Linked DNA regions of Oryctolagus cuniculus. The protein of the gene in region 1 interacts with the protein of each later gene in a biochemical or structural test. Links are inferred from orthologs where the notes say so. Each region holds a gene or a part of one and is shown in the gene's direction. Other genes may lie near its edges.

Region 1 (3,813 bases):
TGAATCTGTCTTGTGTATTCTGTTCTATTTATTGCGATACTTCACTCTCTGGAAACCAAGTAATCTGAGTCTTATAACTATTCTTTTCCTGTATTTCTTTACAAACTTTAGAATCAGTTTGCCAGGGTTATCTTTTGCCACAGCACTTAAGATGCCTATCTCATATTGGAGTGCTGGAGTTTGAGTCCCTGCACCACTTCAATACTAGTTTTCTGCTAATGCACACCCGTGGTAGGCAGCAGGTGATGTCTCGGGTACTTAGGTCCCTGCCACTCATGTGAAAGACTTGGGTGGAGCTGAAGATTGCTGGCCTCAGCCTGACCCAGCCCCAGCTGGTGTGGGCATTTGGGAAGTAAAACAGTAGTTGGAAGATCTCTCGCAGCTTGCCTGTCTGTCTTGTTTCTGCCTGTCTCTCTTCCTTTCAGATAAATAAACTTGGGGAAAAAAATTCAGTTTGTCAGAAAAAGTAATTGCTGGCATTTTGATTTGTATTGTGTTGACTCTGTAGACTCAGTGTTGAGTCTCCTGATCCATGAACATGTTATATTTATTTAATCAAGTCTTGATAATGTTTTATAGTTTTCAGTGTATTTTGTGGGTCTTTTGTCAAATTTATCGCTAAGTGTTACATTATTATGTGTTTTTTTAAATATCTGGTTGTTAGTAAATAGAACTATAATTGAGTTTTGTACATTGCTCTTATAGGATTTTCTAATTGATGTCTTTGTCTTGCCTTTTTGCACTTCCTGATCCATTATTTTGATGTACTGTGATGATGGAGTTTCAGATATTAAACTAACCTTGCATTCTAAGAATAAATCCCACCTGATTGTGGTGTTACCTTTTTTTGTTTTGCAAAGCTTTCTTATAATGTCCTTGTCTGGTTTTCATCTGTAATAATGCTGTCCTTATAAAATGAGTTGGAAAGTAGTAATATTTCTCCTTGAACATTTGGTAAAGTTCCTTGGTCAAGATATGAGGCATGGAATTTTCTTTACAGTTAGATTTTTTAACTACAGAAGCAGTATCTTTGATAGACATGGGGCTCTTCAGCTTATCTATTGCTTTTCAAGTGGATTTAAGTAAGTCTGACCAGCAGCTTGTCTTTTATTGATCTGTTCCAAGAAAGAAATAGCTATTTTCTTTTTATTTGTTTCTGTTCGGCTACTGAAATTTTGAGTGATCTCTGTAAGCCACTTAACTCTGTACTGCCCTTAGGTGGGAAGCAGGGTTGGGGTATACTACTTATAAGATGTGAAATACTGAAATATCAAAAAAAAAAAGGTATCATTGTTTTTGCCTCCACCATGTATTGCTTTCTTATTTTGCTTTTGAACAAAGATATTGATTGCACGTATGTACATCTTAATTGGTTTATAGGCTTTTTATGGAAATTCTCAATGATTGTTCTGATGTGGATGAAATCAAATTCCAAGAAGATGGCTCTTGGTGTCCAATGAGACCGAAGAAAGAAGCTATGAAAGTATCCAGCCAACCGTGTACAAAAATAGAAAGTATGTGCAGAATGGCAGTGGAAAGCAAAGCAATGAGATTGGGCAGCATTATGTTTATTGTTAACCTTGACCACTAGCACTATCAGTAGAGTTCAGTTTGCTTGCTTCAGCTTTGGATCATCTGTCAAGTATACGTTGCCGTCCTCCTTAGTGATTTTTATTTTTTCCTTAAGAAATGTCATAAAATGTATTAATTTCTTTTTATTTAGGAGGCAGAGGAACAGAGAGAGAGCTCCCATCCTGTGGTTCACTCCCCGAAATGACCTCAGAGACTCAGGCAGGGTTGAAACCAGGAACGGGGAACTTAGTTCAGGGGTCCAGTTGGGTGACAAAGACCCAACAGCTTGAGCCATCCTTTGATGTCTTCCAGAATGCGCATTAGCAGGAAACGATTTGGGAGTGTAATCAAGACCCCAGCGTAGGCACTGTGTCTGATATGGGGTACGGGTGACCCAAGCAGTATCTTCAACATTAGGCCAGACACCTTCCCCAGATACATGCTAAGTGTTCTACCATCCTACAGCCTTTTATAATATACTTGTAATATGTAAAATGAATGAAGCAGTCATCTAAATCATTTTACCAAATGAAGTATATTACAAAATAAAACATGATAAGTGACATTTTCGTTTTTTTAAATTGTTTGTGGTTAGAGAAGTTGCATGTTTGGTCAATGAACAGGGAGGGGCAGTGGTCACAGGTGAACAAATTGTTTTTCTTCCATTTCTTTGTGGAAAGGAATCTGGTCATCGTTTGTTTACCTAGAATATTTATACTTTTTAAAGATTTATTTATTTGAGAGGCAGAGGCAGACAGAGAAAGAGAGAGAGAGGTTTTCCATCTGCTGGTTCAATCCCCAAGTGACCATAATGGCTGGAACTGGGCTGATCCAAAGCTAGAAACCAGGAGCTTCTTCCAGGTCTTCTATGCAGGTGCAAGGGCCTAAGGACTTCAGTCATCCTCCACTGCTTTCCCAGGCCATAACAGAGAGCTGGGTTGGAAGTGGAGCAGAACCGGTGCCCATATGGGGTGCTGGCGCTGCAGGTGACGGCTTTACCAACCATGCCACAGCACTGGCCCCCAGAATATTTATATTTAGCCTTCCACTGAGCTCCCTGCACCTGCCTACACTGAGTAGGGAAACTAAATACAGCTTGAGTAACTGAAACTTGTAGGTGTAATTAAAGTTCCTTTTTATCTAATGCAGTCTATTCACTGCATTTGAATTTTATTCTGACTGTATTTGAAGTTCTAAGAAAAAAAGTAATGATTAAATTTTTCAGGGTAAGGAGAAATGGGGAAAAAAATAAAGACATATACCAATATTAATTACTCCCTTGTAATTGACACTGAACCTAAGTATAATGACCAAGGTTTCTCTAATCTTTGAGAAAAATGGGGAGCAATTTGATTGGTTGCTGCTGGTTTTTCAGTATCTGCCAGCATTTATTTTCAACTAAGTAGATTATAGGGAATAATATACCTTTGTATGAAAAGAGTGGACATCTGTTGTGTGAGGCAATGCTGAGAAAAAAATCTAAATGATTAGTAGATAATTAATTTCAAGAAGCTTTAAATGTCTGAATAACCTAAATTGGAAGTTTGTGGGGATTTTCAGCTGATCAAGGTAAAATTGATTTTTTTATCAAGTTTTGATGGGTAGTCTAATACAGACTTTAATATTAGCATGATTGCAAGAATGGAAATATCTAATTCTGACTTAATGTCTATGAGGATACACATCTGGTAAAACCACATGCTCTTGTCCTGTGGCCTGAGACCAAGTCTCTTAACTGCAGGTTTCTGTCTGAAATGACTGCTCACCTGGGAAGCTGATGGTGCAGCAGGATCTGCGCACGCAATTTCAAGTGTGCTGTCAAGGCGCGGCACTCATCCTGTCTCCCCAGGGAAGCAGTCCTTTTATTGATATCCCTGGAGTTAGGGGCAGAGTGTGTGGCTTCACTGCTATGCATTGTCCTGGGTGTACTTGACAGTTAAGACTGAGTTAACAACTGAGTTGGTGTCACACCTTTAATGTTGTTTTTCCTTCCTTTTACTACGTGCAGGTTTAGGTGTCCTCAGTAAGCCTTGTGCAGTGACTGTAGCCAGTGAGGCAAGCAAAAAGAAAGTGGATGTTATTGACCTAACAATAGAAAGTTCTTCTGATGAAGAGGAAGACCCTCCTGCCAAAAGGAAATGCATCTTTATGTCAGAAACACAAAGCAGCCCAACCAAAGGGTTTGTTAATTTATAGTTCTCCATTGTTCATTGCACTTGCAACTAATGGTTCCTGGGGTGA
Region 2 (3,813 bases), on another chromosome or scaffold:
GCCCTGCGTCTGCTCGCTGCTGTCCCGGGCCTCCCTCCTGCCGCCTGCCCTGTGTCCTCCCAGGGCGCGGTGGCGCCAGCAGTGTGGAGTTTGCTCGGCTTCTGGCAGAAGGGGTGGGTGGGGCGGGGAGGGCAGGGGGAAGTGAGTGTGGAGGGGCACGGGCGGCGCGGCGACTGCAGGCCCCACGGCAGTCTGTGGATTCTGATTCTGCTATTTTGATGTGTTTACTTTTCTGAATTAAGCTGTGTTATCTGGAAATATTTAATGGAAATTGCTTTTTCTTTTCAGGGCTTGTCAATGAGGCAGATTAGATTCAGGTTCGATGGGCAACCAATTAACGAAGCGGACACACCTGCGCAGGTATGCGCCCGTGGCTCTGGTCTGCATGGTGGGCGTCGCTGCCGTTTGGAGTACAGACTTGAAAATCACTGCTTGGTCCTCTCATGGCATAGCTCACTTTTTTCTTATCAGAGTTCTAAACTTTAAAAAGTTGACGTTAAGTTTTCAACTGAAGCCCATTCTTTGCCAGACATAGTCCTTCTGTTTGGAGATGGCCTGACGGCTGGGCCCAGGGCGGTCAGCACAGGCGGCGCCCGGCACGCAGCCCCTGTGCAGAGCGGTCAGAGCCCGCCCTTCCCGCTGGTTGCTGGGACGCCTGGCGTCCGGTTTCACCCGTGCGTAGCCACGCGACCGCCTGCTTTCGCGTCTTGCTGACGTGTTGTGAGAACACGCGAATACGAGGGCCCTTCAGAGCTCTGGGAAGTGAGTTCTGAGACACCTGTGCGTGGAACTGGCCATCGCTTTTGCACCAGAATCAACTTTAAAGATTGATGTACTTACTTTGAAAAAGTTAGAGAGAAAGGAAGAGGCCGAGATCTTTCACCTGCTCGTTCATCTCCCAGGTGGCTACCGTGGCCGACGCTGGGTCAGGCCAAAGCCAAGACCTTCTTCTGGGTCTCGCACGTGGGTGGCAGCGGCCGGAACACTTGGCATCTTCCAGTGCTTTCCCGGCACCTAAGCGAGAACTGGACGGGAGGTGGAGCCGCTGGGACATGCAGCGGCGCCCACGTGGGTGCCAGCATTACAGGCGGAGGGTTAACCTTCCCCGCCACAGCGCCAGGCTGCAGCCAGGCTGCAATTCACTACTTCTTAGAAGATTTCTTTCATTTGAAAGAGTGATAGAGCTGAGACAGAGATATCGATGGATCTTCCATCTGCTGGTTGACTCTCCATATGGCCGCGATGGTCAGGGCTGGGCCAGGCCAAAGCCAGAGCCTGGAACTCCCTCCAGGTCTCCCACTTGAGTGCAGGGGCCCAAGCATTTGGCCCATCTGCAGCTGCCTTCCCAGGTGCATTAGCAGGGAGCAGATCGGTAGGCCTCAGACGCGCCCATGTGGGAGGCCCGTGTTGCAGTTTGCGGCTTAACCCGCAACATAAAGTTATCTTTTAACTCCATTTTCCCCTGAAGTTTCTGAAAACCCTCAAACATCTTACCCTCAGAAAGCTTTTTTATTTAAGAAAACATATATGTGACTCGATACATCATGTTATAGGGTATCACATTGTAGTAAAAAAGAACTTTGGGCTTATAAGTAGAAGTTTTGTTGTTTTTAAATTTATTTATTTATTTGAGAGAGAGAGAGAGAGAGGCAAAGATAGATATGCTATCTGCTGGTTCACTTTCTAAATACCTACAACAGCTGGGGCTGGGCCAGTCCGACGCCGAGAGCCCAGTACTCCGTCTGGGTCTCCCGTGCGGATGGCAGGGGCCTAGCTGCTTGAGCCATCACCTGGCCTCACGGGGTGTGCTTTAATAGGGTGCTGGGATTGGAAATGCAGAAACCAGGCCTCAAACCCGGGCACTGCCTCATGTGGGCGTTCCAAGCAGTGTCTTTTTAAAAAAATTTTATTTATTTATTTGACAGAGTTACAGACAGTGAGAGAGAAAGGTCTTCCTTCCGTTGGTTCACCCCCCAAATGGCTGCTACGGCCGGTGCTGCACGACCAGGAGCCAGGTGCTTCCTCCTGGTCTCCCATGGGGTGCAGGGCCCAAGCACTTGGGCCATCCTCCACTGCACTCCCGGGCCACAGCAGAGAGCTGGCCTGGAAGAGGGGCAACCAGGACAGAATCCGGTGCCCTGACCGGGACTAGAACCCGGGGTGCCGGCGCCGCAAGGCGGAGGATGAGCCTAGCGAGCCGCGGCGCCGGCCCCAAGCAGTGTCTTAACTGCTCAGCAGATGCCTGCCTCTAGGAGTTGTGAAGTTCAGGTGCAGCTCCTGTCACTTGTCAGTCGATAACCTTGGGGTCAGGAGCAGCTGGATCTCGAGTCTGTCTGTTCTGTCTGTAGAAGGGCCATCATACCCGATCTCCTGCCTGCCATGCTGTGAGCATCCATGGGGATGCCTCAAGTGAAAATACTGTTGCAAAGTGTATTCAGCATTTAATAAATACTGAACACTTGTTTGCAATAATCGTTTAATTTCGGGCCACTTGAAACCCTACACTGTCGAGATGGGCTGTGCCGCGCAGGGGCTCCCAGCTGTCCTAGGCTGCTAGAACCCAGCAGGGCCTGAGCCAGGAGGGGCAGGCAGGAGCAGAGGCCCCGCGTCCCCGCGCAGTGCCGCTGCTGCCAGCCTCCTCTCCCTGTGTGACCCTGGCAGGAGCTCCCTTTGGTTCAGGGAACGAAGACCAGCATAGAAGTTTTGGGCCCAGGGGTCAGAAGAGAAGCCAGCAGGAAGTATTGGTGACCCTGTGCCCTGGCCTCTCAGGTGCCGGGGGGGGGGGGGGGGGCGGCGCCAGCCTGGGACCCTGTCCTCAGCACAGCCGTTGCCCATGGCCGTTCTTGTTAGCGCTGGGCTCGCTCTGAGGTGCACGGCGCCCATGGGCCAGTCACGGAGCGTTCTCGGTGGGGATCTGTGTGCGATTCCCAGGAAGAATTAGACGTTCTACTGTGTGTTTGAATGCCCCAGTGCTTAGCTTTGAGAATTTGGTGAACTCTGCAGCTCCGCCATGGCACCTCACCTTGCACGGGACAGAGGGGCGGGGCCTCGCAGTGGGGATGAGGTTCGGAGACACCAGGACAGGGAAAACTAACGGGCTTCTCTCTGTGTACCTGGCACCGTGACTGACAGCTGGAGATGGATGACGAGGACACCATCGACGTGTTCCAGCAGCAGACGGGCGGCGTGAGCAGCCGCTTGCCGGGGCGTGGCCTGTTTTCCATCCTTGCGTTTGCTGTTGAATAGTGAACCCGAGACCGTGCAGTCACAAAGGAGTCTGCAGAAACTCAAGGACATGCAGCGAAGTGACTTCCTCTCTGGCTCAAACTCTCTGCAGGGACGAATCCACGACTGAAATGGGGCCAATCAGAATTGTTATCTTTGTTTAGGTAAAATGAGTTTTTGGGGTTTTTCATTTGTATTTGTCCCCTCCTCTCTCCCCAGACCTGTGGCCCGAGTGTGGGTTCCCGAGGATGGGCCTTGGCTCCCCGTGCCAGGCTCGCCTGATCCTGCCCGTAACCCGCGGCTGGGGGGGTGCAGGACAGGCCCTCACTTACACTTGCAGGCACGGGTTGTTGAAATGCTCGATACTGGACATCGAAGCCTGGTCACGTTTGGTAACGTGGAAGGGAAAATCTGGAACGCTTCTTAAAAAGTAAAAACATAAACAAGTCCTTTAGTAAAATGGCCCAAGCACGCTCTGCCCTGCTGAGTGTGGCCCCTTGGCTCCAGGGCCCGGCAGCCCCGGCTCGCTCAGCACCTAGTGATTTGTACATGGGCAGAGCCTGGCACACCAAAAATTGGCTTTTTCCC

What was found.
Region 2: the proteins of PIAS2 (region 1) and SUMO3 form a complex in vitro, tested with the Homo sapiens proteins (2 studies listed by BioGRID, with this or other methods). The link is inferred for Oryctolagus cuniculus from reciprocal best matches to the Homo sapiens genes PIAS2 and SUMO3.

The regions. Positions count from the first base shown.
Region 1 is NC_091441.1:30,720,264-30,724,076, forward strand, and holds part of PIAS2 (E3 SUMO-protein ligase PIAS2), read left to right. Parts: intron 1-1,380; coding exon 1,381-1,514; intron 1,515-3,580; coding exon 3,581-3,752; intron 3,753-3,813. UniProt on the Homo sapiens protein: Functions as an E3-type small ubiquitin-like modifier (SUMO) ligase, stabilizing the interaction between UBE2I and the substrate, and as a SUMO-tethering factor.
Region 2 is NC_091435.1:1,765,009-1,768,821, forward strand, and holds part of SUMO3 (small ubiquitin-related modifier 3), read left to right. Parts: intron 1-288; coding exon 289-360; intron 361-3,132; coding exon 3,133-3,246; 3' UTR 3,247-3,813. UniProt on the Homo sapiens protein: Ubiquitin-like protein which can be covalently attached to target lysines either as a monomer or as a lysine-linked polymer. Does not seem to be involved in protein degradation and may function as an antagonist of ubiquitin in the degradation process.